4 linked regions of the Saccharomyces cerevisiae S288C genome follow. The protein of the gene in region 3 interacts with the protein of the main gene of each other region in a pairwise test. Each region holds a gene or a part of one and is shown on either strand. Other genes may lie near its edges. The genes, in order: NAN1, UTP9, UTP8 and UTP5.

The links.
Region 1: the proteins of UTP8 (region 3) and NAN1 interact in binary tests that used the Saccharomyces cerevisiae proteins (3 or more experiments, as listed by UniProt).
Region 2: the proteins of UTP8 (region 3) and UTP9 interact in binary tests that used the Saccharomyces cerevisiae proteins (3 or more experiments, as listed by UniProt).
Region 4: the proteins of UTP8 (region 3) and UTP5 interact in binary tests that used the Saccharomyces cerevisiae proteins (3 or more experiments, as listed by UniProt).

What each region holds. Positions count from the first base shown.
Region 1 is NC_001148.4:305,867-315,443, forward strand, and holds NAN1 (Nan1p), read left to right. Parts: upstream 1-4,343; coding exon 4,344-7,034; downstream 7,035-9,577. Other genes in the region: TATA-binding protein-associated factor TAF14, read left to right, coding at 1-271; TBF1 (Tbf1p), read right to left, coding at 667-2,355; HHO1 (histone H1), read right to left, coding at 2,962-3,738; karyopherin KAP120, read left to right, coding at 7,522-9,577. UniProt on the Saccharomyces cerevisiae protein: Involved in nucleolar processing of pre-18S ribosomal RNA. Required for optimal pre-ribosomal RNA transcription by RNA polymerase I together with a subset of U3 proteins required for transcription (t-UTPs).
Region 2 is NC_001140.6:490,379-494,158, forward strand, and holds UTP9 (Utp9p), read left to right. Parts: upstream 1-1,552; coding exon 1,553-3,280; downstream 3,281-3,780. Other genes in the region: MDM31 (Mdm31p), read left to right, coding at 1-18; NVJ1 (Nvj1p), read left to right, coding at 369-1,334; RIX1 (Rix1p), read left to right, coding at 3,518-3,780. UniProt on the Saccharomyces cerevisiae protein: Involved in nucleolar processing of pre-18S ribosomal RNA. Required for optimal pre-ribosomal RNA transcription by RNA polymerase I together with a subset of U3 proteins required for transcription (t-UTPs).
Region 3 is NC_001139.9:744,994-753,659, forward strand, and holds UTP8 (Utp8p), read right to left. Parts: upstream 5,099-8,666; coding exon 2,957-5,098; downstream 1-2,956. Other genes in the region: VSB1 (Vsb1p), read left to right, coding at 1-442; YGR126W (uncharacterized protein), read left to right, coding at 842-1,534; YGR127W (uncharacterized protein), read left to right, coding at 1,805-2,743; SYF2 (Syf2p), read left to right, coding at 5,407-6,054; YGR130C (uncharacterized protein), read right to left, coding at 6,401-8,666. UniProt on the Saccharomyces cerevisiae protein: Involved in nucleolar processing of pre-18S ribosomal RNA. Also has a role in nuclear tRNA export. It acts between the steps of tRNA maturation/aminoacylation and its subsequent translocation out of the nucleus.
Region 4 is NC_001136.10:1,263,436-1,271,794, reverse strand, and holds UTP5 (Utp5p), read right to left. Parts: upstream 4,325-8,359; coding exon 2,393-4,324; downstream 1-2,392. Other genes in the region: URH1 (trifunctional uridine nucleosidase/nicotinamide riboside hydrolase/nicotinic acid riboside hydrolase), read right to left, coding at 1-732; HPT1 (hypoxanthine phosphoribosyltransferase), read right to left, coding at 1,062-1,727; negative cofactor 2 transcription regulator complex subunit NCB2, read left to right, coding at 4,897-4,933, 5,026-5,429; SXM1 (Sxm1p), read right to left, coding at 5,637-8,359. UniProt on the Saccharomyces cerevisiae protein: Involved in nucleolar processing of pre-18S ribosomal RNA. Required for optimal pre-ribosomal RNA transcription by RNA polymerase I together with a subset of U3 proteins required for transcription (t-UTPs).

The sequences.
Region 1 (9,577 bases), on a different chromosome or scaffold from region 3:
CACAACTGCAGAACCAAAGGCGAAGAGAGCTAAGACGGGCAGTGCATCTACCGTGAAAGGGAGCGTGGACCTAGAAAAATTAGCGTTCGGATTGACTAAACTAAATGAAGATGACCTGGTTGGTGTTGTTCAAATGGTTACCGACAATAAAACACCAGAAATGAACGTGACGAATAATGTTGAAGAGGGTGAATTTATAATTGACTTGTATAGTTTACCTGAGGGATTATTGAAAAGTCTATGGGACTACGTTAAGAAAAATACCGAGTAATAAAAGGTAAAAGGGCGTTAAATGCGCGCTTTTATGTTTGTATAAATAAAACACGTTGATATTTTGTCTTATATAAACTTTATTCCAATAACCGCGACACCTTACCAAACACATATTATTACAACACATTTTTATCTTGGATTTTAAGTAATTATACAACAGTTTTCATTTTAGAAAATGAGAACATCAAATATATACATTCCAATGTAATAGAAAATGGAAAAGAAAAAAGAATAAAAAGAAAAACACGAGGGGACCAGGTTGCTAGAAGATAGGGTGACCACGTCAAAAGAATATACCTAGGGAACCAAACAATGCGAAGTTAACAACCCATCAAAGTATTTTTAATAGTGAGTGGTTCAATAGAAAATTAGAAGTCTGTTCATTTAAGCGCGCTACATCCCATCTTCTAAATGAGGATCAAAACCTGTATTGTCCGATGTACTATTGCCAAAAAGTCCGTTAGATGGCATATTATCACTATTTTGCCCATGTGAATCCTCTTGATGAGTTTGAGTGTCTTCAGTAGCAGATGCAGCTGATGAAGGATGCTGAGATAAATTTTGTTCCATAATAGTTGACGAATTTGGAGATTGAGAGAATTTTTTCTTTGCCTTGTAGATTTTCTCCAAGTTACCGGTCACTTTTATCAAATAGTCAGGCAATGGTTTGCCACTCTTCAAGTATTGTAATTTCCAATTACGGGCTTTATCTTTCAGTTGTACCTGCGTCCTGTTCTTCAAATTTTCCGTGATTTTACCACCGGGACCATATAAATCTAGAATCTTAGACCACGATGGGCCAACCTCTTTCAGGCCTTCCACTAATGCTTCTTCTTCCTCTTTGGACCAAGTTCTTTTCGCCTTTGGTTTTCTTAATCCGATACTACCATTATTGTTGCTGTTACTGCTGTTGTTATGAGAGGAATGAGGACCAGAGCTGCTGTTGCTCATCGAGGCCGCAACAGCGGCATCCACAATGGATTGTGTGATAGCGGGGTTTTTGGAAGACACATCTGTGGTAGGTGTATGTGTGCTGTAATGATTCGGACGAGCAGTTGACAAAAAAGCAGACGCACTGCTTGGCTGATTTTGGTCGTCCATGAATTCTACGGTCCTGGTCCCTGTAGAAAAGAGTACTTGAGGATCAAACTCGTTGACATCAAAGTCATATAATGGTGATTTTCCGCGACCCTTTCTGCCCCATATGATGAGACCCATATTTTTATTACAATAATCCAGCAACTCTCTGATAAATTGAGCCCATTCGTAGCTCTGGGTCAGAGAGTTAAAATCTTGGACGATCTTTAAATTTTCTCTCCGACGATCGCACCTTTCGACGAAGTCCTTCTCCGATGGAGTCAAAAGTGTAATGTCTCCAGAATCGCCGGTTCTTCTCTGCACGAGAATATCAGCCAGATTGGATGGGAAGATTAAGTCTAGTAGCTCTTGTTTCTTTTCTAAAGAAATTTCGTTCGTCTCGTCCTGAAACTCTTTCAAGCCGGCAATGTAAGCCTGTGTTTTCAGATCAAGATATAGGATAGCCTGCGATTTCAAAAACTTTCCGCTTTGTTCCAGGGAGTTGTTACCGACAGTGTTTGTATTTGGACAGAAAATATCGAGAAATATCGACTGTAGCAGCTCAAACCCGTAATTAAGGCAGTTCAGCGACGTCAATAGAAATGTTAGCAGATTCGCCTTTCTTATGGCAGTAATAATAAACGCTTCGTGGCCTCTCAATATAAGGGGGGGAGGGGAGTTGGGAAACCATAAACCAGGCGCCACGTCGTGAACAGACAGTAACGGAGATCTGGTGTGGTAAATCATTCTGATCTGCTTAAAGAGCTTGACTAACGTTTGAAAAATTTCTGTTTCGCCTGAGCTTAGGAAAGCCGTCTGGTCCGTCAAAACCGCTATAATATTGGGAGAGTTGGCATTAAGGATAAGAAACCTCAGTAGTTGAGTGGAGATATTGTCCAGCAGACATAATGAGCATATGGTCAACCTAGTTCTTGCAGGCAGGCTTTGGATGATGTCATTGAAGCGGTTTAAGCTTTCGTTATTATTGGGCACTTGCGAATCCATGACAAATGGGGAAAGAAGTGAGTAAAGAAAAACTAATGTAAAATGATTTCTGTCGCAGATGGGACAGCCACAATCTTAAATGTTGGCAAGGATATAGGAGCAAAACGCCAATATTGAGATGATTGTTTATTATAATGTTTACAAGGAAGGGCAAAGCATTGAGGAAAATTAGTCGGAATGAGGTCTCGCCGGGCTTCTACGGAAAGGGGCGAAAATTAATAGGGCACGGTGCAGAATATTAGGGCTTCAAATGTTCAGATTTTAAAGCCTTTTCTTCAAATACAATAATTAATTTTACACACTGTACCTTGCATATATAAGAGAAGAGAAATTTATAAACAGTATAGTTAGTTAGTTAAGAATGGAATTTGAATAAAATCATAAAGGAGATATTTACCGAATAAGTAACAAATAGAGAAGGGAGAGATTAAAAAATGAAAATTTACAGTACCGCCAACAAACACTTGAATAAGATTGAAAATTAGAGAGAAAAAAATTTAGAAATAATACAAAATACTAATAGTGATGGGACACAAAAATGAAGAAAGAAAATAGGTTTGATAGTATTGCTATCACCATTGACATTCTCGTTTGGATATTCACTTTTTACGTGGAGAGTTTGACCTTCTTCTTGTTTAGTTTAATAATGCCGGAGGGGCCCTTTGGTTGCACTAACTCGCCGTTTTCAACACATTTCTTGATAGCGCTATTGAACAGATAGTCAAAATTTGAGCTTGTTTTCAACTTGGAGGAGAAAGTGTCCTTGACATACTTCTTTAAAACGATACGGCTGGAGCCCTTACCGTCATTAAGTTGAGGCATGCTTTTAAGGATCATTTCCTTGTAGGTCAATGAAGAAGGCGAAGAGGCCTTCTTGGCGGTAACAGTAGGCGATTTTTTTTTCACTACTTTCTTTGGCGCTAGCTTCGTGGATGCGGCTTTCGCTTTTGATGCGGTTGCACTCACAGAAGTGGCGGCTTGCTTGGGTTTTGGACTGACCTCTTTTTCTTTCTTTACTTCTGGAGATTTCTTCTTGGCCAGTTTCACAGCACCAGCGGGTCCCTTTGGCTGTTCAAAATCGCCGGCCTCCACACCCTTCTTTATGGCATTGTTGAAGTACAAATCAAAGTTGCTTGCGGATCCGACGATCGGGTAGTTTTCCTTGATAAACTTCTTGAGTGCCGGACGACTGGATCCCTTACGTTCCTTCAAAGCCGTGAGCCCTTCAATGATCAACTCCCTGTAACTCTTGGAGGAAGCTTCCTCCTTTTTTGCCGTGGTTTTCTTGATAGCGGCCTTGGAAGTTGATTTCTCCTTGCCTTTGCTGGTTGCAGGCTTCTTGCCCTTACTTGTGGTCTTGGTAGTGGATTTCTTGGGTGCCATGTTGCTTTAGTTGTATTATAATTGCTTCCCTCGCTGCCAAGCATTATCAGGTGCCCATAAATAACAACTCCCCAAATCTATAGTTGCTCCTCCTCTTTAAATAAAGGCAGATAAACAAAAAACTTTGACCGCCCGCTTTTCCACACAAAAAACAAACAACAGCAGAAAACGCGACGCGAAAATGAAAAGCCAAAGAGAACAAACAAAAATCATCCATCAAACCTGTTATTGTGCAGAATAGCTTTTACCTAGACGCAAGTCCCTAGGAGGGGGCATTTTTGACACAGAATAGCATTTCATCAAAGCAAACAGCAACTTCTTGGAGATTTGTATTGCTTGGCATGTCAAAATCTAGCGGTCACATCAGTAGGGTAACAAAATAGCACGTCAGGGTTAAGGCGGCCTACTGCTTAGGGTACGTGGTAAGTGATGTAAAATGTGAGAAGGAGAAACTAGAAAAAAATTTTCCTTTCTTTTTCCTAGCGATGAGATGAGATGAAATTTTTCGAACAAATGATTTTTGGCACAGTTTACATATCAGTTATATTGGCTGTCGTCACAGGAACTACAAGTACAAACCAGAACCATTTTAGCTGATCACCAGAATGACGCAATCCCTAGGTATCGAACAGTATAAACTGTCAGTCGTATCTGGTGGGAAACCCGCTTTGAATAATCTCAGTTCAGTAACCGGCAATAAGAATATCGCCCGCCTATCACAAGACCAACGAAACTATATTATACCCTTTAACAATCAGATCAAGGTGTATTCTGTGGAAACTAGACAATGTGTTAAGACTCTAAAGTTTGCAAATAACTCCTTGTTATCCGGAATATTTCTGCAAGAAGAAGAGAATAATGAATCGATTGTAAAGATTCTGCTGGGTGATATAACCGTTCCGCAACAAGAAGACGCTCATCTGATTACCGTATTCACCAATAATGGTCATGTAATTGTTTTAAATTATAAGGGGAAGCTGGTCGAGTCCCCTAAGCATTTCAAAATCTCTTTGGCAGATGAAAAGCTTGCAAATGTTTTCCATAGCGAGGGCAACTATAGAATTTTGACAACGTTCAAGGACCCTAGTCAAAAGGCACATAACTCTTTGCAATCGTACAGGTTATATGCATTAACCTTTGACGATGCTAAAAAGCAATTTGAAGTGGCTCATCAGGCAGAATGGCACAACGTTATCTTGTCAAATATTTCTTCCAATGGTAAACTGCTAGCGCATATGTGCAAAGACGTCTCAACAAAAGATCACGAACACAAATCCATCTCAGTTGTTTCGCTTTTTGATGATTCTGTAAATTTAAGCTTTCCCCTCGGTTCCATCCTTTCTTCACAGACTCAATCCCTATCCTATAACACAAGGTACGTTTCTAGCATGGCCATAGACAATATGGGTCAACAACTGGCTGTTGGATTTGCCTCCGGAGTTATAAGTATCGTAAGCCTGGCCGATCTACAAATAAGACTGCTCAAATGGCATATAGACTCTGTGCTGTCACTCTCATTCTCTCACGATGGATCCTATTTGCTATCTGGTGGTTGGGAAAAAGTTATGAGTTTATGGCAATTGGAAACAAACTCTCAACAATTCCTGCCTCGTTTGAACGGTATTATAATCGACTGTCAGGTATTGGGACCTCAAGGGAACTACTACTCTTTAATCCTACAAATGACTGAAAACAATTCAAATTCTGACTACCAATTTTTACTTTTGAATGCTTCTGATTTGACCTCCAAATTGTCGATTAACGGGCCATTACCGGTGTTCAATAGCACCATAAAACACATTCAGCAACCAATCTCGGCCATGAATACCAAGAACTCCAACTCAATTACCTCTCTCAATCACTCTAAGAAGAAACAATCTAGAAAACTAATTAAATCGAGAAGACAAGATTTCACCACTAATGTAGAAATAAACCCTATTAACAAGAACTTGTATTTCCCACACATTTCTGCTGTTCAAATTTTTGACTTCTATAAAAATGAGCAAGTTAACTATCAGTATTTAACATCAGGTGTCAACAATTCTATGGGTAAAGTTAGATTTGAACTGAATTTACAAGACCCAATAATAACTGATTTGAAGTTCACCAAAGATGGGCAATGGATGATTACATACGAAATTGAGTATCCGCCAAATGACCTCTTATCTTCCAAGGACTTAACTCATATCTTGAAATTTTGGACCAAAAACGATAATGAGACAAATTGGAATTTGAAAACGAAAGTAATAAATCCACACGGGATAAGTGTCCCAATTACCAAGATATTGCCTTCACCAAGATCAGTTAATAATAGTCAAGGCTGTTTAACGGCTGACAACAACGGTGGACTGAAATTTTGGTCCTTCGACTCTCATGAGAGCAACTGGTGCTTGAAAAAAATTTCTTTACCAAACTTTAATCATTTCAGTAACTCCGTTTCTTTAGCTTGGTCTCAAGACGGGTCTCTAATATTCCATGGTTTCGATGACAAGTTGCAAATTTTAGATTTCGACACTTTTAAAAAGTTTGAATCATTGGAAAATACAAAGACGGTCAGTGAGTTCACGTTAGACTCTGAAATCCAAACCGTCAAGTTGATTAATGACACAAATTTAATAGTGGCCACCAGGACTACATTAAACGCCATCAACTTATTGCGGGGTCAAGTCATAAATAGTTTTGACTTATATCCGTTTGTTAACGGAGTGTATAAAAATGGTCACATGGATAGGCTTATTACTTGTGACGAAAGGACAGGCAACATTGCCCTGGTTATAAATCAACAACTAACTGATCTCGATGGCGTACCAACTATCAATTACAAATCCCGTATTATTATATTCGATTCTGACTTATCTACAAAATTGGGTAATTTTACGCATCATGAATACATATCTTGGATTGGTTGGAATTATGATACTGATTTCATATTTTTGGACATAGAATCAACACTAGGTGTTGTCGGAACCACTGTGAATACTCAACTATCTGATGAAGTTAATAACGAAGGAATATTGGATGGCCTGGTAAGTAACACCATCACAACTTCGGCATCCAATAGCGATATTTTTGCAGAACAATTGCATAAACTGTCGTCTAGGGGCAAAAAAAGTGACACTAGAGATAAAAATACCAATGATAACGACGAAGATGAAGAAGATATCGCTTTGGAATTTATAAATGGCGAAAAGAAAGATAAGCTAGTCAATATGAATAGTTTTACGAGCATGTTTGACAACATTCAAAACGTGCAAATGGATACATTTTTTGATCGTGTGATGAAAGTATTAACATAGCTTTAGGGTTCTTCCATTGGATATCCAAAATAGATATAAAGGTATATATATATATATATATATATATATGTTTATAAAGCAAACCGAAAGCAAAAATATCTGTATAACTTAGTTACAAGGGAAGGGAAGAGAATGCATTGGTTAATAGGAACAGACACTTCGTAAAAAGCTTCACAATCATTAATGTTAATAGAACTATCATAATATACAAAAAATCTCTTCATACGATTTTTGTTTGATGAGCATCCTCAGTCAAGATGAATAAAATAATCTCTCCAAATAAGCCGCCTCTTTTTTTTTGAATTACACTTCTATAGCGTACATTTCCATGTAAGAAGATTGAAGTTTCAAACAATTGGGTAGCTTAATATTTGTCAAACTTCTTGGTAGGTGTTGTGTTTAAGAAAAAGGAGGCACCATAAACTATTAACTTTTTAGCTTGCCTCAACTGTCAACCGAATCAAATTTTAAAAGGCGTTAAACAAAAATGGCCTCGTCTCTTAACGAGTTAAACTTGGTTCAAGTACTTGAACAAGCAAGTAACCCACAACATATTAGGTCAGATGTTCAAAAATTAGCCGAACAACAACTAAGACAATGGGAGACTCAAGCGGGATTTCATTACTTATTACAGTCAATCTACCTTAATTTATCTAATTCTTTACAAATTAGATGGTTGGCGGTAATTCAATTTAAGAACGGCGTGGATAAATACTGGAGATCCACTAGAATTAACGCTATACCTAAAGATGAAAAAGCCTCGATAAGAGGTCGTCTTTTTGAAATGATCGATGAACAGAATAATCAACTTTGTATTCAGAATGCCCAAGCTTCCGCAAGGATTGCAAGGCTAGATTTTCCCGTAGAGTGGCCAACCTTATTTGAGGATCTAGAAAACCTATTGAACGATGAGATCATCAGAAAAGATTCAGTTAAGATTTACAATATATTGATGCATATAAATCAAATCGTTAAAGTATTAGGTACTGCGAGAATAGGAAGGTGCCGACCCGCTATGCAAAGTAAAGTTCCTTTGATATTACCACTAATTGTCAGGATTTATTTACAATCATTTGAAGAATGGACGACATCCTCCAATCTCAACTACGAGGATCTTTCCAGTTTACAAGTTTCTTACCTAGCTTTGAAAGTGCTCAGAAGGATAATTTGTGAAGGATACGACCGCCCTCAAACCGATCAGTCTGTTTGCGATTTTATTAAACTATCCGTTTCACACTTTGAGATGTTAATTTCAAACCATGAAAACTTCAAAAAGTTTGATATTTACGAAAAGTTTATCAAATGCCTAGGAAAGTTATATTTCAATTTAGTCACTGGCTCTCCGGCTAATTTCATATTACTGCCATGCTCTACGCAAATTCTAATCACTTATACTAGGCTAATTTTCGATAAGGCCCCTAAAGTATATAGAGAGAATTCTGATGTCACGGGGGACTTTTGGGAACAGACTGCTATTAGAGGGCTTTTAATTTTGAAAAGGGTCATTAATTTCATTCACAAAAAGGGGGCAATTACGTTAAAAGCAAGAAGTGATAAACTAACCATAGATGCTTCTATCAACAAAATCAACACAGAATTTCTGAATGAGAATTTGATAACAAGGTTGGTTGACACTTTAATGGAATGGTACTTGAGGTTAAGACCAACTGAATTAGAAAATTGGTTTATGGATCCAGAAGAATGGATAAACGAACAAATGGCCACGAGTTACGAATATCAAATCAGACCATGTGCAGAGAACGTTTTTCAAGACTTAATGAATACTTTCTCTGAGCTGTTGGTTCCCTACCTGTTAAAGAAAATTGAAAATGATGCTTCAAAGCTATCAAACTCATTAGACGATTTTTTAAGGAAAGACGCAATTTATGCAAGTTTCCAATTAAGTGCATCCGCTGTTAGTGAAATGGTAGATTTTGACAGGTTACTAATTCAGGTTTTTTTACCAGAAGCTACAAATACAAACATATCAGGCGACGAATTAAGGATTATCAGAAGAAGAGTTGCTTTAATTATAAACGAATGGTCTACTGTGAAGTGTTCGGAAGAATCTAAAAGTTTATGTTACAAGTTATTTACAAACTTCCTGACAGATGAAGACGACAAAGTTGTTTTGTTAACCACAGTCCAGACTGTCAGAACCATGGTTGATGACTGGAACTTCAACAAGGATACTTTTCAGCCATTTTTAACTGAAAATGTTCATTTATTGTTGAGGAAAATTTTACCATCTGTGTCGTTAACCGAGACAAGGCTATATGTTTTAAACACCTTGAGCGATATCATAATTCAAACAAAACCTTTAATTAGCAGGGATCTATTAGTCGAAATTTTGCAAATCATACCAAACCTTTGGGAAATAGCAACAAATAATGCTAGTGAGGCTATTTTGGCAAACGCATTGTTAAGGTTATTGAGAAATTTGGTATCATCTTTGGGATCACAGTCACATTTAACGTGGGATATCGCCATACCTGTGGTTGCATTAGCCTGTGATCCCTCTTCTATGCAATATCAGTTGTTAA
Region 2 (3,780 bases), on a different chromosome or scaffold from region 3:
CTCGGTGCTATCGCGTGAGGAATACCTACTCCTGTCACTTTCTGTACATATGCATTTACATAGCATCGTTCTTTCTATCAGTTTATCTAATTTGTGACGCATCTTTCTTCTTTCTACACTGCGGAAAATCCTATTTGAAAAAAAATAGACGAAAAATATCAGGACCCACCCCCTTATGAAGGAGAGAAGGGGAAGAGGAGCTGCAAAACAAAAAGGTGAGGCTTCTTCTGTCCAGATTTTTGTGAGTGAGAGAGTGTGTGGGAAGAGAAGGAATTAAACCAAACAAAAATTGGAACCAACAACTGTTGCGTTTGCGTGTGTGCATAATATCAAAAAAGCTACAAATATAATTGTAAAATATAATAAGCATGACTCGTCCCCCATTGGTTCGTGGAATCTTTTCGTTAGGTCTTTCTGTAGCCGTTTTGAAAGGTGTTGAAAAAACAGTTCGTAAGCATTTGGAAAGACAGGGATGGATAGAGCCCCAGAAAGTGGACTATGAGTTAATTTTCACTATAGATAGGTTGAAAAACTTGGTAGATAATAAGCGTGAGGCTTTAACTGCGGAACAACCCGACGCTGGTGAACTGAGCTGGCGTAAAGTATTTAATTTCATTTCCAGACAATCCAGCGAATTGGACACACGAATATACGTTCTTATACTACTCCTATCCTTTCTACTACCTATCGCGTGGACTGTACTGGACGGTGATCGCGAGACCACGCTAGAAGATAAGGATAACGATTGTAATGTAGATCTTATTGAAAACGAAAGGAGGCTGAAGCATTACAACGATGGTGAAAGAGCAGTATTGCAATTTGGTAAAAATAGATCCGAACCTATTATATTAAGCTATAAGGACATGAACGTTTTGGAAGGGGAACATGAGTTTACCTCCAAAGAGGAACACAGTAACAGCCATTTGACAAGCAAGAGCGAAAATGCACTAAACCAAGTAGGGAGTGAAGATTTGTTAGGTTGTCACCTGGAAAAGCAATTGGAAGAAGACAAAAATGAACCGAATGGAGAAGCAGACGGTGAGGATGATAATAACCGGGAAAAGGATTGCAGCTCCAGTTCAGAAGTTGAGTCGCAGAGTAAATGCCGAAAGGAAAGTACTGCAGAGCCTGACTCTCTCTCACGGGATACCAGAACAACCTCTTCCCTTAAATCAAGTACATCATTCCCCATATCATTCAAGGGCTCGATAGACCTTAAGTCGTTAAACCAGCCTTCATCATTGTTGCATATACAAGTATCTCCCACAAAATCTAGTAATCTAGATGCACAAGTGAACACTGAACAAGCATACTCTCAACCATTTAGATACTAATGTACTATATTTCCGTCATCTCGGTTATCATCGTCACTTACAACGAGGTGCGAAAATTTTTTTCTTCTAAAGGTGAGAAGAAAACATGAAAAATTTTGAAAAATTTAACGATGAGATGGAGTTTTCAAGTAACTTTATGTAGTTGAAATACATATTAGTACTCCGTTGCAATATATAACGCCGGGCATTCTCCACGTATATACATACCGTAGTGCACAATGGGCTCCTCTTTGGATTTGGTGGCGAGCTTCTCGCATGATTCCACTCGTTTTGCATTCCAAGCAAGCGTCGCACAAAAGAACAATGTGGATATTTATCCATTAAATGAAACTAAGGATTATGTGGTCAATAGTTCATTAGTGAGTCATATTGACTATGAGACAAACGATATGAAGGTTTCAGATGTAATCTTCTTTGGGTGGTGTAGTGATTTGATAGATACGCAGTCATCCAATATCAAAAGAAAATTAGATGAAGATGAAGGAACTGGTGAATCAAGTGAGCAAAGATGTGAAAACTTTTTCGTTAACGGATTTCCTGACGGAAGAATTGTTGTTTACTCTTCTAATGGTAAGGATATAGTTAATATCATCAAGAATAAAAAAGAGATTTTGGGAGCAGACACAGACGAGTCTGATATATGGATTTTGGATAGTGATAAAGTCGTTAAGAAATTACAGTATAACAATTCGAAACCTCTAAAGACTTTTACGCTAGTTGATGGTAAAGATGACGAAATAGTTCATTTCCAAATTTTGCACCAAAATGGCACTTTATTGGTATGCATTATTACTAAACAGATGGTTTATATTGTTGATCCATCAAAGAGAAGACCCTCTACTAAGTATAGTTTTGAAATATCAGACGCTGTAGCATGTGAATTTTCTTCAGACGGTAAGTATCTGTTAATTGCCAACAACGAAGAATTAATAGCTTACGACTTGAAGGAAGATTCAAAGCTGATCCAATCATGGCCTGTCCAAGTGAAGACATTGAAAACTTTAGATGATTTGATAATGGCTTTGACTACTGATGGTAAAATTAATAATTATAAGATTGGCGAAGCCGACAAAGTTTGTTCTATAGTTGTAAATGAAGATTTGGAAATTATAGATTTCACGCCAATAAACAGCAAGCAACAGGTTCTAATTTCATGGCTAAATGTCAATGAACCCAACTTTGAATCTATTTCTTTAAAAGAAATTGAAACTCAGGGGTATATTACAATAAACAAAAATGAAAAAAATAATGCTGATGAAGCGGACCAAAAGAAATTAGAAGAGAAAGAAGAAGAAGCTCAGCCTGAAGTTCAACATGAGAAGAAGGAGACTGAAACTAAGATAAACAAGAAAGTTAGTAAATCAGATCAAGTTGAAATTGCTAATATTCTCTCATCGCATTTAGAAGCTAATTCAACAGAAATATTGGATGATCTGATGTCTGGAAGTTGGACAGAACCAGAGATTAAAAAATTCATCTTAACCAAGATCAATACAGTAGATCATCTAAGTAAGATATTTTTGACTATATCAAAGTCAATAACACAAAATCCATGGAATGAAGAAAATTTACTTCCGTTGTGGCTTAAGTGGTTGCTGACTTTGAAAAGTGGGGAGTTAAATTCTATAAAGGATAAACATACAAAGAAAAATTGCAAGCATTTAAAATCTGCATTAAGATCTTCAGAGGAGATCTTGCCTGTTCTACTCGGTATACAAGGTAGATTAGAAATGTTGAGGAGGCAAGCAAAATTGAGAGAGGATCTTGCACAACTATCTATGCAAGAGGGTGAAGATGATGAAATAGAAGTTATAGAGCATTCAAATGTAATTAGTAATCCTTTGCAGGATCAAGCATCGCCTGTTGAAAAGCTTGAACCAGATTCAATTGTTTATGCAAATGGAGAAAGTGACGAATTTGTCGACGCATCGGAATACAAAGATTGATCAAGCATTTTAAATATATTTAAGTATATACAAAGAAAAGTTTCACATGAGAAGCACTGATTGATGCAGCTATTAATTTTCAAAAGATTACGTTGTCTTCATCATTTGAGACGGGTCATCGCAAGAAAATTTTTCAATATTAAACTATAATAAAATGTAGTAAAAAATAGATGCAATACTACTATTCAATTTTTGTGGTTTTCCAGTTATCAAACTAAGTATAGACAAAATTTGAGCATGTCAGAGGAATTTATCGCAGTTTCTACTTTGGCTAGAAACCTGGAAATTGCCAAGGGTAATGAGTTTCATACCATTTTGGCGACTTTAAGATCACCAGTTTATATCAATGAACAGCTGCTAAAATCCGAATTGAGCTTCCTTGTTACAAAAATCCTAAAACTTATCAGATCAGGCAATGACTTTGATCTTTGGAAAGGATGTCACACCTCTGTTGTGACTTGCGCCTATAATCCACTGGTCTTATCGACTCATGGAGGTCA
Region 3 (8,666 bases):
GCAGTACCGACCCGATATAATATCTGAAGTTCAAAAAGTAAGAGAAAAGGAAATCAAGTTTTGGGCACAACTCTGCCCCTACTTCACCAGGCGCAGATTAGCAAGTCAATCACATTTACTACATGCAGACAACATTTTTTTCCTTGTGGAAACAGGTATGTTGAAGGCAACATATGAACTACCACAAGGAACCTTGTACGAGATTTTTTCAAATGGCACATGCTTCGGAAAAATCATTGCGCCAGGGAATGCTATGCCTAGAGAACAAAAGCTCACCATCGAAACTGAAACTGATTCCGTATTATGGGTTATAGACTCTAGCTCGTTGAACAAATTGAAAGAAGACAATCTAGCATTGTACGTGGAGGTTGCATTAATGGTCATGTGTATCAAGGACACCAGATTCAAAGAATTACTAGGTTACACACTTGTTAGCGCATGAGAGCGTACACGTATATTTATTTAATTTCTTTTATTGCCGGCGTATTGCAAGTAATTTACACCAGTACTAAATAAAAGCAGGATGCTCCTGCATCTGTATAAGTGATGCCGTTGTAGGATTTTTACCATCTCGACTATAAACTTTTTGTACTTGAGTCTTCACTTCCGGAATTTTACTGCGCGATTTTCTTTGATAGGGCCCCTATCGTAGACGAAAAGTGATAATTCCCATCGATGAGCAACTACATACCTCACTTGACTTAATTGCTCTCCTAAAGAAAAAAAATACCGTTACTTTTTTCATTAATATACTACCACAACAATTCACAACGGGTAGTTGTACGGTTAGTTTATATCCGCATTAACAAATCAAAGTCATAACAACGTATCAACGTAGACTATGCCTGTCCCATCTGTTACTGTCACTACCGATAATGAATATGAAGACATATCGTCCTTTTCTTCTATTGACTCTTACAAACCGGAGCCCTTTACTGGGTTCAAAGATTCTGAAGCTCCAGAACAGCCTCTTTTAAAAAACGATACCATTGTTGGAAAGGGGCAACTGGAAGATGATAGTAATGTAGATGATCAACACCGTCATTCAGATGTGCATTCTCATCACAGTTCTAGTACTTTAAAAAGGCCAACTTCAAATTCGATAGAAAAGATGGTTACCCACAATGCTTTAGAGGGCAACTCAGAAACAGTTGATTCCTTAAAAGAAGATGGTTTAAATTTGAACAAGAAAGCTCTTCCGGATATTACCGCCCCAGTAACAAACTCAGCTCACGATGCTGCATTTCCAGAAGAGTATCGTTTAGAAACTGAAACCGGGTTGGTCAAATTGAAGACGCTTGAAAGTTTGAAGAGGGAGGACTCTCGCGTATCCTCAACTAAAAAAGAGCATATTAACGACCATACAGATATGCATTCGACACGATCCAAGGTTACTACAAATTCTCAAGGTTCTTCTCTAGAACCAAACAAGTTGAACATGGCAGTAGAGAAGAATAAGAAGAGGATCGAAAAATATCAAAAACATAAATCAGAAAAGGGGATCAAGGGGTTTTTTCATAGAATTTTCGATTAAGTGGCATAGCAACATTTAGTTCGCAATGCGTTTACTTCAGAATCATTCTTTTTTTTTTTTTTTTTTTTTTTTTGCCTCACATTATATTCTTGGCATCTGCCTAGCTTTCGACTTTTTCGTTCAATTCCTAAAGCGCTAAAAAAATAGTCTCCCCCTGAAAGTGGAGTAGGATAGTAGTATATGAAGTGAGGCAGAAAAGGAAAGAAACGCTTGCATTTATTAACACACCTGTGGCTAAAGTATTAAAAACCAAAAACTAACGAACAAATAATGTGCATTTTAATGGCCACAAGGGCACATCCTGACTATGAACTCATCTTAATATCTAACAGAGACGAATTCTTGGCAAGAAAAACACATGCTACATGCTGGCATAACAATGATTTTATCCTTTCACCCTACGATCTGGCCAAAACCTCAGCAGAAAAACAAATATTTGGCACTTGGTCTGGCATAAATAAAGAAGGAAAATTAGCCACTATTCTTAATTTAAAACTTGACAATGAGCAAAATAATACGAAATCAAGATCCCGTGGTCTGTTACCATTTATATTTTTGTCGATCCATAAAGCAGATTTTGAAGATTGGGATAATTACAAAAAGTTTGAAGGTCACTATGATGGGTTGAAGTCCACAGGTGATTTTAATTTTTTTTACGGCGACGTTATCAAAAAGCAATATAAAGTTATTGATTCTCTAGGAAGAACTTTTGATGTGTTGAGTTCTACCTGTAGGAAAGATCTTGATTCTTACATGGTTGTTTCTAATGGTAAATTTTATGACAGCTCCAGTATACCAGGGCAGGCTTGGGAAAAAGTAAAGGTAGCACGTGATAGTTTAGAAAATCTAGTTTTAGAGAATATTGAATCAGATGAGGAGAAAATAATATCAAGTTGCTTTCAACTCGCCTCGAAGTCTTCCCTTCCAAGCACTATTTCAAACCCAGATGTCTTGCAGATGGTAGATCCAAATGTAACCATGAATACCATATACGTACCACCTTTACGGAGGCCTCCCAGGGATGACTTAGGTGCCTCAATTCCTGATGGTGATTACTACGGAACTCGCTCTCAAATAGTTTTACTCGTGAGTAAGGATTCAACGAGAGTTACCTTTATAGAAAGGGTCCTTTATAGCTCAGATGAAGACGTGCGCAAGTATTCGGTAACCTCACCTAAGGAGGAAAAAAGGTTTAAATTCAAATTGTAAAAATCACAATCTTCCATTTTATTTCAAACTAGCTTTAAATTCCATCTTCTTCCCCTCAGAACATTCCGGTATCTCTTGTTGGACACATCTAATGTATATGATGTTTTCAAATTCTAAATGCCTGTTAGTTTATCAGTAACCACAGTAGACGCTATATATATTAGTTCCTTTTCTATATAGGTATTATACAATACAATCAAATTCATTGCATACTCAAATGTCCAAGTATTCCATGGTGTAAGTGGGTAAGGCTCGCTTCTGAGAAGTTCCGTTATCAAAGGTTGAGCTAGCAAACCCATGCTGAAAACCTTTCGTATCAATCAAATTCCACAATTCGGTATTTCTTTCAGCAATCTCAACTTGTTTGTCAATATATAAGGTTAAGTTCTCCAATAGAGCACCTTCTAATGAAAATAGCCCGATAGAATCTAGCACAAGGGACAAGAGTTGAAATAGCTGCGTGCTTTGGCTAGGGTTGAAGCATTCTGGTGAGCTGTCTTCACCACCGCTTGTTATGAACTCAATGAAATTTTGAACGTCTAATTTACTTAGTTTCTTCATTTCTTGTTTAATAGAGTCTCTGGTGAAATCCTGCAAAATCCTAAATGAGATATCAAGTAATAGTTCCCTGTTTCTGATAGAAAACAATTCTTCAAGTAGTTCATTTAATGGCAAGTTTGGGCATGTTACAATTGCTTGTTTAAATAATCTAGGTTGGTCTCTTAGTAAGGATAGCAAGTTGCGTGTACGACTCAATGGAAACAATGGGTGTGTCAATAAAAACGTTAAAGTTTTTGGATAATCATTTCCGCTAAACTTTCCGAAAATTAGATCTAAAACTTTATTCAAAAAGCCAGGATCAGAAATATATCTATCTTTTTCAGTATAATGTTCTTCTTTGATTTTTAGTTCTTTGAAAAATATGTCATCAAATGATGTAATGTCATTATCTTGAAGGGCTGAAAGCTTTTCAATAACTTCATTACAGTGGAGGACTGGAACGCTTGAATCCCCGCTGACGTCGTTACATTTCACTCTCTTGTCATTTATGTCTTTATCATCAAATAGCGGCTTTAAAATAACTGAGCTATCATTATTTCCAACTTGAAAACTCTTGCCTAATGAGTCCTTCAACGTATTAGTTCCAACATCAATATTAATTATTTCTAAGGAAGACGTTGGGTTTGGTCCATTTTTCGTTGAAATACCAATTGCTATTGTTTTTGAATTATGCGACTTTTCTGAATTGATCACTGCAGATTTTAATAGTTGGAATGTTTTCACGTGAGTTAATTCTCTTTGGCTTAAAGTAGAACAATGCAGTAAGTCTAGTAGATAAATGACGTTGTTTACGGTCAGTAGAACTCTGTTTACTGAAACAGGTTGGAAAGAGATTAAGTCATCTCCAGGACTGAGTTTATCCACCATCGGAAATTCAATAACTTGTTGCAATTGGCAATGTGGTAAAGAGTAAATGTATATTTTCCCCTGGTTCAATTTGTAAAGTTTTCCAAATTGATAACAAAGCTTTGAATTTTCAAAAGAAAATCCTTCGATGATAGTAGATGATAATTCTTTTATGGGCGAACTTTCTCCACTGCCACAATCTGTTAGCTCGAGCAATTTATAGCAGACTTTATCATCCTGTAATGGACAGAGAACAAAAACATATTCAGTTCCATTTTCAGTGAACCATTTAGCATATTTTAAGTTATCATAAGATATATCAAATGAATGCAAAAGTGTTAACTTAAAATCAAAAATTTCAATCAACCCGTTCTGTAAAATTGCAATTACTAAGCTGTTCTTGGTGTCAATTTTAATACTCATGACTTTGGCTTTCGCCTTGATCTTATACTGAGATAAAAATTCGTCTGAACCCGTGTATGCTTTATTGTCAATATCACTCTCACTCAGATGGTCATTTGAGGTATCAGTGGTATCTTCCAGTGCCTTAGTGATAACATTTAGCGTATAATTACCCTTATTTACCATTAAACCAAAGGCCCAAATTTCAACATTTCTTTTTTTTTGGGTGTTGATAGTCTTCTCGTTGTTGGCTTCATCATCGGTACTGGCTTCTATATTTCCGTCAATGTTCGCTTGACCTTTCTCAGCATTGCATGCCGTGATAATATTTGTAGAGGGTATTGGGTAATCGAATGTTAACTTTGGTGTAGGATTAATAATATATTGAGATATAGATGACCCGGAAATACCTAACGTTATGTTATTTGTAGATTCATTAAAGGTGCCATCTGCGACTTGAACGTAATCTGCTTGTAAAGAAAAATTGCTCAATGAAGCAATTTTTGGGAGAGTTGCTAGTCTAAATGGTTGAGACAGGGATGGCATTTTGAATCTTTACTATCCTCCGGAATGATTTGCTGTTCAAGGAGCGCTAGGTGTGACATATAATATTACAAATTTAACAGTGACCTCATCTCATCAAAGTTTTCAAATTTTTCAGGCATCTGCTACAGCATAATGAAAAAATTTGAAAAATACAGACATTTCCGTGTAGAATGACAAAAAAGCTAGAATATTACTATATTTTCCTTAAAAGAGCAATATTTGCGATGAGGGGCTCTCAATGACAATGTTTGACTTCTCTATTGAACTGTAAGCGAAGCAAAACCATATCTTGTCAAAGTATTCGAAGAATGGATTTTTACAAATTAGACGAGAAGCTGAAGGAGTTGAAAAGGAAAAGAGTAGATGTATCTATAAAGAGTAGGAAGTTGGCTGACAGAGAGATTCAGGAAGTAAGCGCAAATCGAAAACCAAGAGTATACAGTATGGAAGACGTAAATGATGCAGATGAATCAGTAGGAGATACAGAAAGTCCTGAAAAAGAGAAAGCATTTCATTACACTGTCCAAGAATATGATGCGTGGGAACGTAGGCATCCTCAAGGGAAGACTGGGCAAAGCCAAAGAGGTGGAATTTCCTATGATCAACTTGCAAAATTGAGTTATGAGAAGACCTTGCGGAATCTCGCTACGCAAACACAGAATTCGAGCAAACAGGATAGTTCCGCCGATGAAGAAGACAATAAAAACGTACCCAAGAAGGGTAGAATCGGCAAGGTACAGAAGGACACTAAGACGGGTAAGATAACAATTGCAGATGACGACAAGCTAGTTAATAAGTTGGCCGTTTCTTTGCAATCTGAGTCGAAAAAAAGATACGAAGCAAGAAAAAGACAAATGCAAAATGCAAAAACACTGTATGGGGTTGAAAGCTTCATTAATGACAAAAATAAACAATTCAATGAAAAATTGAGCAGGGAATCAAAAGGATCAGAATAAGCTTCTCTTTTATTTAGAATATACCGATATAACCAAAGGAAAGTTTTAATACCCTGGATTTTTCATCGACCGTCACGTGACGAGCTGAGGTTAAATGCCCGCAAAAGTGCTTCAGAAGAGAGTCCATCTTACTCGGTTATTTGAGCACGAAACACTAGAGAATAACTAACTGGTTGATAAATTGTTGATTGAGTAAATATTGGTACATAAAACGGTTACAAAGAGAGGTAGATTAGGAAGGGTGAAAATAATCAAAGGATAACTTGATGATACTCGACAAAGAATAGAAGAGAAAAATAAAATAGAGGTGGGATATTCCTTGAACAAAAGTGGAATATTATTTTTTTTAGGCATACATGACGTCTTCCTCAGTATGATATTCATACAAGGAATCGTCCTTTGGAAGGACGCTCGTATTCTTTTGTGAACGGTCATTTGGTATTTTGTGGTTTTCAGCCGCGTGTATACCTTCAGCTTGTTTGTGCTGCCTACTCAATATTTCTTGCTTCAAGGCCTCATCAGCGTTTTTCTGGCGAGTTTGTTCCTCGATAGCCTTTTCAGCTTGTAATCGCGTTCTTTCCCTCTTGACTGCCTCCAGTTCTTTCTCTTCGGTTGCCAGCTTATCCTGTAGTTCAGTCAATTGGTCATTATAGGTTTGCTTGACTTGAGTAATTTGCTGCTCATGATCTAATTGAGCCTGATGCGCTTGTTCCTCCAGCTCTTGGCGCTGTTTTTCCAATAAGTTCTCTTCTTTGCGTTTTCTTTCTTCAGCTTCTAGCTTCAACTGTTCTTCATGAGCGCGGCGCTCATCTTCGAGTCTTTTGGTAATTGCCGATAGTTGAGTTTTTTCATTGGCGTTTTCCTGCTTGATTATGGTCACTTCGTTCAATAAGCTTGATATTTGATTATCAATATCATTAATTTGTGGAAGATATTCCTTGTTCTCTACACTTTCCAAAACTTGTACATTTTTTTCATGCAGCTTCTTATTTTCTTCAGTTTGGGTAACCAAATCCTCCTTTTTCTTTTCCAGATTATCGATTTCGTTTTGAACTTTGCCTTGTTTCAAATTAATCTGGTTAATCTTAAAGATCTGAGCATCCAACTGTTGAGATAAGTTACTTAAGTTCGTGGTCCAGTCATTGAACTCCTTTTGGACATTCGTTTTCTCATTGTTCAAATCATCGATTTCTGACTTAACGTTGGTTTGTTTGTCCAAGACCTCATTTTTCTCCTGCAACTTTTGGTTTTTCATATTTTCAGTGTCTTTTAATATCATTAGTTTCTTATTATTATGCTCGGCATTAACATCAATGATTTTTTTGACCAACCGGTTTTTACTAACTTCAATTTTCTCAGAAGTTTCTTCTCTCATGGCCTTCATTGAATTTTCAATTTCGTCAATCTGATTTTGTAAATCTTGTAGCTTTTCTTTGTATTCTTTATTTTTAGCATCATATTTATCCTTTTCCTTTGCTCGAAGATCAGCTAACCATGCTTGATGAATTTTTTCATCATAATTGATTTTATCATAAACTGCCTTTGATAGGTAACCATGTTCTTTTGTCTTTACAATTAATTCAGGATTTTCTGGAGTGGCCACTGGATTGGATGGAGCGGCGGTCTTACTTTTTTGGGTAGATGAAGAAGTAGGGCTTTTCCATAAAGCGAAAATTCCGGTTCTTTCCTTTCGAGAAGGTTCCTGAAAAGGGACCTTGGGAGCCTTGCTTGGATCGATTGGGCTTTCATCTTCTTCGGATTCCGGTTCCGAGGTTTCTGGAGTAGACGTTCTCTCAGCAGATTCCTCTGCAGACGATTGTTCGGTTTCCTCTTCTGCATCCCCTTCCGCTTCCACTTCCTTTTTTTCTTCCCCACTGGGAGGATTGACTTTTTTTACATCGGATTTTTCCTCCTTTTGTTCGTCTGTTGGCACGACACCTGACTTTGAACCGCCACTTTGATCTGTAGTGCGTGGTTCCAACACCCCATTCTCGGATGAGATTGGTTCCGCTACATTAATTTGAGCTGAATCAGCAGTGCCTTTGCCAATTGAAGTAGACTCACTCACTTTGTCTTCATGTTCTTCCTCCACGGAAGTTGCTTCATCAGCACTATTTTCGACAGCATTAGTAGTAGAAGTGCTGGTAGTAGAAGTACTGGTGGTAGTGGTTGTCGTAGTTGCAGTGTCAGCAGTTGCTTCAGTGGCCTCAGATGTGGTAGTAGAAGTAACGTCCCCTTCATCTGATGAAGACGATGACGATGACGATGACGATGACGATGACGATGATGATGTAGAAGTGGACGAAGAAGTAGTAGTGTCAGTGTCATCTTTTTCATCCTTAGTTAAGTCAGTAATTTTCTGGCACTTCTTCAAATATTTCAAATGTTTCTCCTTTAGTTCCAACTCAGTTAGTAACTGATATTGTCTTTCTTCATTTTGAGTTAGGTAAGTTGGAAATCTAATATCTTTGGCTCTCTTAGCATTTTTTGGTATGTTTTTGTACCCTAAATCCTTAGGTTGCTGTTTTGAATAGGCAGAAGTAGCACTTACGGTAGGAAACTTTCTGTTTTTTGCGTCTTCCCCATATGCCCGGTTGTTTTGCCTATTGGCG
Region 4 (8,359 bases), on a different chromosome or scaffold from region 3:
CATATCCTTGTAGGTATGAGCAAAAAATTGAAAAAGCTCCAAAAACAATTCTCGTAACTTGCTGTTATTCTTTTCGTTGTATATCATTTCGTTAACCTTGTAAGTAGCTATGGCCTTGTGAGTTAAATTTAGAGGAACTACTATACATTTGTCCTTTACATCGGGATCACGGAATATGTAATTCGCTGCGTCAGGATCAATCCAAACGTTGAATTCAGCAGAAAGATTTGGGTTACAGTTTCCTAGACCATGGAGTCCACCCCCCATAATGCTAATATATTTGACAGATTTTTTTAGGTATGGTTTACACCTAAAAACTGTTGCTAATGTGGTAAGTGCACCAGTAGACACAAAGGATATCTCTCCATTGTTAGCTAGAATCGCCTCTTCAATGGCCTCAATATACGTTTTATCAGTTCTTGCCTCAAATGTTGGCTTAGGTAGCAAAGAAGTGCCGTCTAAACCTGATATACCATGAATGTCAGGAGCATAATGAGGTTCCCTTTTCCAAGGTCTCTGTGCGCCTTTATAAACTGGAATCGCTTGTGCTTTGCCCATCGCAGTCAAAAGAGAACGGGCGTTGTAGTCAGTATTCTCTGGCGGTGCGTTACCAAAACACGTGCTGATTCCTAGAAGATTGAAAGCTGGATGGAAACAGCCTAATAAAATGGCTATGGCATCATCATGACCAGGATCACAATCTAGCCATATGGGTATTTTACTAACAGTCATCTTTTCTTCAAACAGTCGCTGGTTATTGCTGTCCAACCCTTCCCCAACCTTGCAGATGAGGGAAATTATCTGTTTTAATAAGTTTCGTGAGGTAAAAAAATCAGCAGATTCCATCAAAAGTAGTTGTCACGTATGTGTCAAATATCGCGTTACGTGGTGGTGAACAGAGGGAAAACGTAATCGCGCCTCACAGGTTACCGGTGAGGCTAAGGGAATAAACTTTGAGATAATAATTAGTTATACGTATACATATGGTCGCAGTTATATGCGTTGTCTATTGTACAAATTCTGCTGTATGATTCAAGTTACTGAAGGATATGATATGTCTATCATTGCTTGTGTTCCTGCTCAGGAATAAAGATGTCATTGCCCTGTTCAATAGCCATTCTAGTATGGAAAACAATGTCAGTAGATTCCCATGGATATGCATACCACTTGTCTGGAACAGTTTTAGCTGCAAAATAACGGTTCTTGTCATTCAACATTTCGGCAGGCAAATCTGCTTTCTTTGGTTTTTGCTTATCGTGTAGAACAAAAATCCCGAAGTTTGTTTTCATCTCTGGAGACTTTTCAGTATCGATACCTTTAGCCTTTGCCTGTTCAGCTGCATCCTTTTCCAATTCACTCAAAGCGTAATGAAGTGTGGTACGGGTGTCATCGACTTCGTCAACGATAAGAACGTTCTTGCCGACTAGATCTAATTTACATTGCTCGTAATCAATCCATTGTGTTCTGCTAACCTTAACACCAACTTCCTCAACTTCTGAGCCTACACTGTTCAAATCTTCGTACAAAGACAAAATAATAGCAAAAATTCTGATGGTTGGCACGCCGGGCTCCTTTAGGAACGTACGTAGGATCCTAGCAGGAATGAAACCACCACCACCAATGGCAATGATTAAGTCCGGCTTGAAATTCTTAATTCTCTCAGCGGATACTTGACATAGTTGATGTACGTTGTTGTACGAGATGTATTGCTTATCGTTTGCCGACATTATGGGAACGTAATGGATATAATGAACACGAACGGTAATATAAAAATAAGAAAGATTACAAGGCACTACATCGTATTACTCCAGCTAGATGGAGACTAAAATAAAAAAGTTACGGCAAACCAAACTGCGAAGGGGGAACAAAATCTAACGGAAATTGGGCTTATCAAACATGTTTAAATAGAAAATTCTATAGCAGCTCATCGCTACCCGATTTGGGACAGATGGAGGGGGAAAAATTTTTTTTCCTTTTCTTTCCTAGTAAACGCGAAATATAGAGAAAAAAAATGAAAGAAGTCAGATAAGCGGAAATGATATTAATTGAAATTAATCTAATTAATTTTTTCAGAAGAAAAAAAAAATAAGTGACTCGGAAGGGAAATATGTACTGTCTTTTCTTAGTTAACCAACTATGGTTGTGACGTAAAAGTGGAGTGCTTGCTTGATGTTCCAGATGGCCTTACTGTTAACGATGCCAGATGCAGTTCAAAAAGGATAAACGATTGTGGGGGTCTTTTGACAGATCTTCTTCGCGTGGGATACTTTCGTGATCTTTTTTTTTCTTTTTTCTTTTCTTACATTATGTGGTGAACTCTATATAAGTATTTATGTGCCTAGAGATTATTTTTGTATTCTGATGCGTGAAAGCATTTTATGCATGATATCCTCTATTCCATCTCAACGTCACTATATCCGGCTTCCTCCTCGCCGTCGCTCTGCTCCGTTTCTAAACGGCCATCTTGCTTAGATGAGGTATGCTTCTGTTCCTCTTCGTTGTCACTATCACCTTCTTCTTCTTCTTCACTGCCATAAGATTCTTCACCGTCCTCTATAAGGCCGGCATCATCGAGTTCTTCGTTATATTCAACGTCGTCTTCGTCCTCTTCGACAACTGGTTCGGATGAGTGGATGTCGCCTGCTTCATAGTTCAAAGTTTTGAATTTATTTATAGTACAGTCTAACCTTGCATCCAGTGCTAGTAGCCTTGGTAATAAGTCGGAACGCCTTTTCAAGGTGGAATGTAACGACGATAGAGTAGACATCAAATTTGGAATAGAAACCAAATAGCCACCGTGTATGATTAAACACCATTTTACCCAAACATTCAATGGGCCTTGACGGTGGGTTTGTCTTGCAATCCTCTCTGCCAACCTTTCTAAGAGAATGACAGCCAGTGCTGGTTTCAGACGGAAGATAGTATCCCTAATGACCCTCTCGTCACGATTATTGAGCACTGTTTCCAACAGTGAATGATCATTTGATTGTAGTGCTTGCGACAGAATTACTGTTACCGTCCCGGTTGTCGTAGCAGTCTTGAGATTGGAACCTTTTAAATTTGTTTTTTTCCCACTAATCCTTGCGACGGTGCTTGATTCTAGCTTATCACCAAATGTTTCTGTTAATAGTTCATTGGCCTGTGGGGGCTTGGCCTGTTCTTGTTCCAAAGAAGTCAATTCTCTTTCCCAGCTCTTTATAGCGTCATCAACATGCTTGAAGTTATCTCCAGAGGTGACTCTTGCATTACCTTCCACGTAGTTGGTGGCTGAGGCAAGATCTTTACCGTGTAGATCGCGATCGGCGGACTTATTTTTATTATTCCAATTTAGGGAAATTTCGACGGTATATTCATTAGGGATTTCTCTCCACTGCAAGTTCTTGAAGTAAGGCATAGTAGCATTTTGTAACCACGATACGTTCAAAAGGTCTTTATTAATAAATGCGTTATAAATTGGAACTTTCCTGCCGTCTTTACTGACGATTTGAATCTTTTTGCTGGATTTTTTGGACTTGTTGCCTCTTTTCTTTGTTGAACTCGATACCAATGGATCAACAAAAATTTCCAAGCTACCATCCTCGGTAGTGACTGCGATAGAATCGGCTTGGCCTGAATGAGATAACTCCTTGATATCTGATTCAGCCACAAGGACGCATTTGGTCATACCGGAATGAATATCATATACGTTCAAGAATCTATCACCCTCTGCGCCTGATATGAAAAATTCATTAGTTATAACTTGCAATGTGGACACTGGAGATACATGACCGGGAAATGTCATTACGACTTTTTTCTCTTCGATGTCTATTAAAGAAATGGAATGGGATGCAACCAAAAGTTGTGCAACAGAATCGCCTGCTGGAACAATGGTTAGTTTATTCAATTGAACGCAGTTGTTTATTCTAAAATGTTGTAACAGTTTGAATTGTAACAGATCGAACTGATAGAATGCGTCGCTGGAGTCGATACACCACAGTTGATTACCCATCAAGTCTATGTCTTTGATTTCGTAAGAATTCCCCGTAGTGAATTTATAGGTGACTTCGTTGGCCAATACGGAATATAGCCAAATTTCACCGTTATTCATACCCAATATAATAGCCACTGTGTCGGAAGAAGCCAGGTTTACCCATTTTAAGCACGTCACCTTCAATTTCGAGTCCTCTAAATACAGAAAATTCTCATTCCACACTGTATCAACTCCGGAGGAAGTGGCCCTTTGAGTGGGCTGTACACCAACGCGTTGCTTGTCCAAAGCTACAGTGACATAACACAAATACTGACCTGATGGGTCATAAGCGGACTGTAGAACAGGAGAATCCATCGGTAATGAACAATTATAAGGCAAATGTGTCTTTTACCCTCTTGCTAAGCCAAGTTTAAACTATATATGCTCTGCATCTATCTTTACATACATATATCCTATCCAATACTTGTTAATTTTTTCACCTCATCGCTTCAGCTGCGAAAGATTAGAAAAAGAAATGAAAAAAAATTGGATAAAATTTTTTTGTCAAGAAGCTCATCCCCGTGTTAAATGACAATCAAAGAATAAGGGGAACTGTACAACACGTTCAACCAAAACTATTGTAAAGAAATGCCACCACTATGCAGCATAGCCTGTTCATGCGAATAGTCGCCGCAAAAATTACGATCTGGTTTAATCAGCTCGGGCTCTTATCTTTGGCGTATTCCAGTATGTGCAATTAACTCTTGCACCACTTTAAAACGCCCAGCCCGCTGCACTCTCCCTCCTATATAAATGGAAGCGGTTTTTGGTCGCGCTTTTCGCCCTCTGCTCGCCTTGTCGATTTCTATCGTGCAGAGTTACCAGTATAAGGTGGGCAAGAAATCATAACGATATTTACTAATACAGTTGTACCTATTAATTAATTGATGGCTGGAGACTCCGATAATGTGTCGCTTCCCAAGGGTATGTTAGTTATATTGTTGTTGCAAAACTCAAGCTTTGATGCGGGTACTGAGCGGTTATACTAACTTAGAGAAAACACTGAATGATCTTAGCGACCGTACAAAAGATGATATCTGAAATACTGGACCAGGATTTGATGTTTACCAAGGATGCAAGAGAAATCATCATCAACTCCGGCATAGAATTCATAATGATCCTGTCCTCGATGGCTTCCGAAATGGCGGACAACGAGGCTAAGAAAACCATAGCGCCCGAGCACGTGATCAAAGCGCTAGAAGAGTTGGAGTATAATGAGTTTATACCATTCTTAGAGGAAATATTATTGAATTTTAAGGGTTCCCAGAAGGTGAAAGAAACTAGGGATTCCAAGTTCAAGAAGTCAGGTCTCTCGGAAGAAGAGCTGCTACGACAACAAGAGGAGTTGTTTAGACAGTCAAGGTCCAGATTACACCACAATAGTGTATCTGATCCGGTTAAGTCGGAGGATTCTTCTTGAATAGAAGCTTCTAAACAAAGTAATGCTATATACGAAAATAAACCACATGGGAATATGTTAAGCGCATGCATGTATGTAATAAAAACGAAGACAAGTCCAAAAAAAAAAAAGAACGAAAAAGAAACAACTTTTATATTTGTATATTAGAGTATAAACTAATATCCTTATTTCAAACTATCACATTCCACTATTTTTTTTGTGTTCTCCTCAGTGTTGAGAAACAAATTCCAGAATTACCTGCAAGGAATCTCTCTTAGATTCATCCAGATAATTTATGATTTTTTCGTACTTACCGGCATCTTCGTTTTGCAAATTCTTGAAAAAGGTATGTACTTCCTGGAAAACATTAATTTGGTCTAACACTGTCTCCTTCATATCATCATCACATTCGATAAAGTATTCTTCTTCTTCTTCTGGGGTCAGGTCTCCTTCTAAGGATTTGCCCTCGGTAACAGCATCACGGTTTCTAATTGCCTTTGGCAATGATAATGTCAATTCCACCAGTTTATTGGTCAGGTTATTTAGTAGTGGGCTGACACTATTAGGAACTTCAGGCATCTTCAAAAGGGTTAAAATGACCAGGACTTGTAATTTGATGGCGAAGACACTGTAGAACTTTTCATTAAACCAATTGGTAAAGAAATTTATAGTAAAACCTTCATTTTCCATTATTTGTAAAGTTTCGATTGGTTTAGCAAACAAATTGGCCAGTCCCAGTTTAACGATGCATTTAGAGTCCAATCCTAGCTCATCATTAGTGGATACTTTGATGGCTTTGCTGAATAATGGAATGTCTCTCATGGACAGTGCGAAGTACATTAGAATTTGCATAACATGCTCGATGTCGTAGTCAACTTCACTTTCCAGTTTAGCAGAGAGAATTTCTAGCAGAGGTTGAACATAAGTTTGATCTTGTGGGAAGCCGGTCATCACGATGGTTTCAAAAAAAATACTGTAGGCCTCAAAATAGTCCATGGCATAAGTTTGGAAAGAATCCAATATATCATGTAACAACTCCCATATTGGTGGTGCAATTTGGTTATAAAGCAGATGCGAAGAAATAGTTAAAGCATCCAGTAAGTCGACAGCTTCCGTAATAAAAGAAATTTGTGCATGAAGTACAACAAACTTGACCACGGGAGCTAAGGACTCGATTAATGGAACTTTATTCATTGACATGACCATAGTAGTCATTGTTTGTAACAATCCACTGGCCTGGATTTCCTGCTCTTGGTCACTTGCGCTGTAGGTTTCCGATGGATTTTCTACCAATGCTTGAGCAATACGTAAAAATTGTTCGACTAGGTTTGAAGCTAAATCTTTAGCAAATGGGGATAGTTCATCTGAAAATCTCTCCACCAATGCTTCCATGACTTCAGATAAGATATCGATTTCAAAGATTTTAGACAATTTCAATAGCTTTTCCATCATACCTGGAACATGAGCAGAGACCGCTGGGTGGATTTGAGGATTGGATACAATTAAACATTTAATGGCATCTGCGGCCTCAATTTGGACTGGTAAAACGTTACTGTTTAAGAAGTTGGTATATGTTAACTCAAATAATTGTGACAATATGTTCATATCTTTAAATTCTTCCGAATACAGCGCTATCGTTTCCAAACTTCTTGCAACCAAAAACATGTACTTATCCTGCGATAACAATGGCACGATGAAGTGTCCAAAAATATTCTCCAGAACGGATGGCTCATCTATAAACGAAAACAAGTTAGACAATGTTCTCAAAGCACCCTCTTCTTTAAATGCCATGTTAATATCACTGGAATTGGCATCGAATCTAGTAAAAATATCATTAATGAACGGTAAAATATTGTTCAGTTTCTCAGGACGTTTGGACCCAATCAAGAATATGAAATCTGCTGAAGCAGCATCTGGCGTAGAGCCTTCTCTGTTAATGTCAAAATAACGCCTGGTATATTCCTCTTGGTCATCTTCTAATAATTCGATGGATTGTTCATTAGCACACAAACATGGGAAGATGACGTTCTCAAAAATAATTTGTAAATGTGGCTCAATTAAAGGATAAAGTTGATCTATTGTAACACATTTCTCTAGGAATGAAATTAAGAAATACAAAGAGGAATCGGATAACCATAGTGAATTATTACCCCAAGCTTCAATATCCTTAAAAAATTCTCGAAGAATTATAGGAACAATAGTATTGAAGATATAGTCGATAAATTCCTTGGTGATGGCCTTTGTAATTTTGTTGTATCTTTGCAGGAATCTGTTTAAGTTACCGAACCCCCATTTGTTCACTTTAACCCTTTTGTCTAGGGACCTATCTGCGGGATCCAGTTCCATTACTTCGACTGGTAATGGTTTGGAACATAAATACAAATGTAGTTGCACCCATGACATAATTCTTTCAGGTTGGCTGAAGTATTGAGGCAAGTTGTTCAAACATGCATACTTGAATGACTTCAAAATGAGGTACAATATTTCATTAGATCTGTAATCCGTTTGACTACCGATATTAGAAGCTATCCCTTCCACAATAGGGAAAAGTTCTTCGATAACAGAATCAATATAATCTCTCGACCCAACCATGTCCCACCTATGAGCTTTACAAAGTTGGAACAGTAGTAGTAACCCGGGATAAATGTACGATGCGTCACCGCTCGATAATAAATTCTTGATAATAGGTGCTAAATCCCAATCTTCCTGACCAACAAGTATCCCATTTATGGTTTCAGTCAGGATAGGCCTAATGTGGTTATTTTCACAGTTTTTAACTAAAGTCTCGATTAACCTTTCCTTGATCGAAAGCTTTTCGTCAGCTTTTATACCATCTTCTCTCTTAGTATCCCATGATCTGTGAATCTTATTCTTCAAATAAATAGCAGAAGAAAGACGAACATTTAGCGCAAAATTATCATCAGACACTATATTAAGCAGAAAAGAAGTAA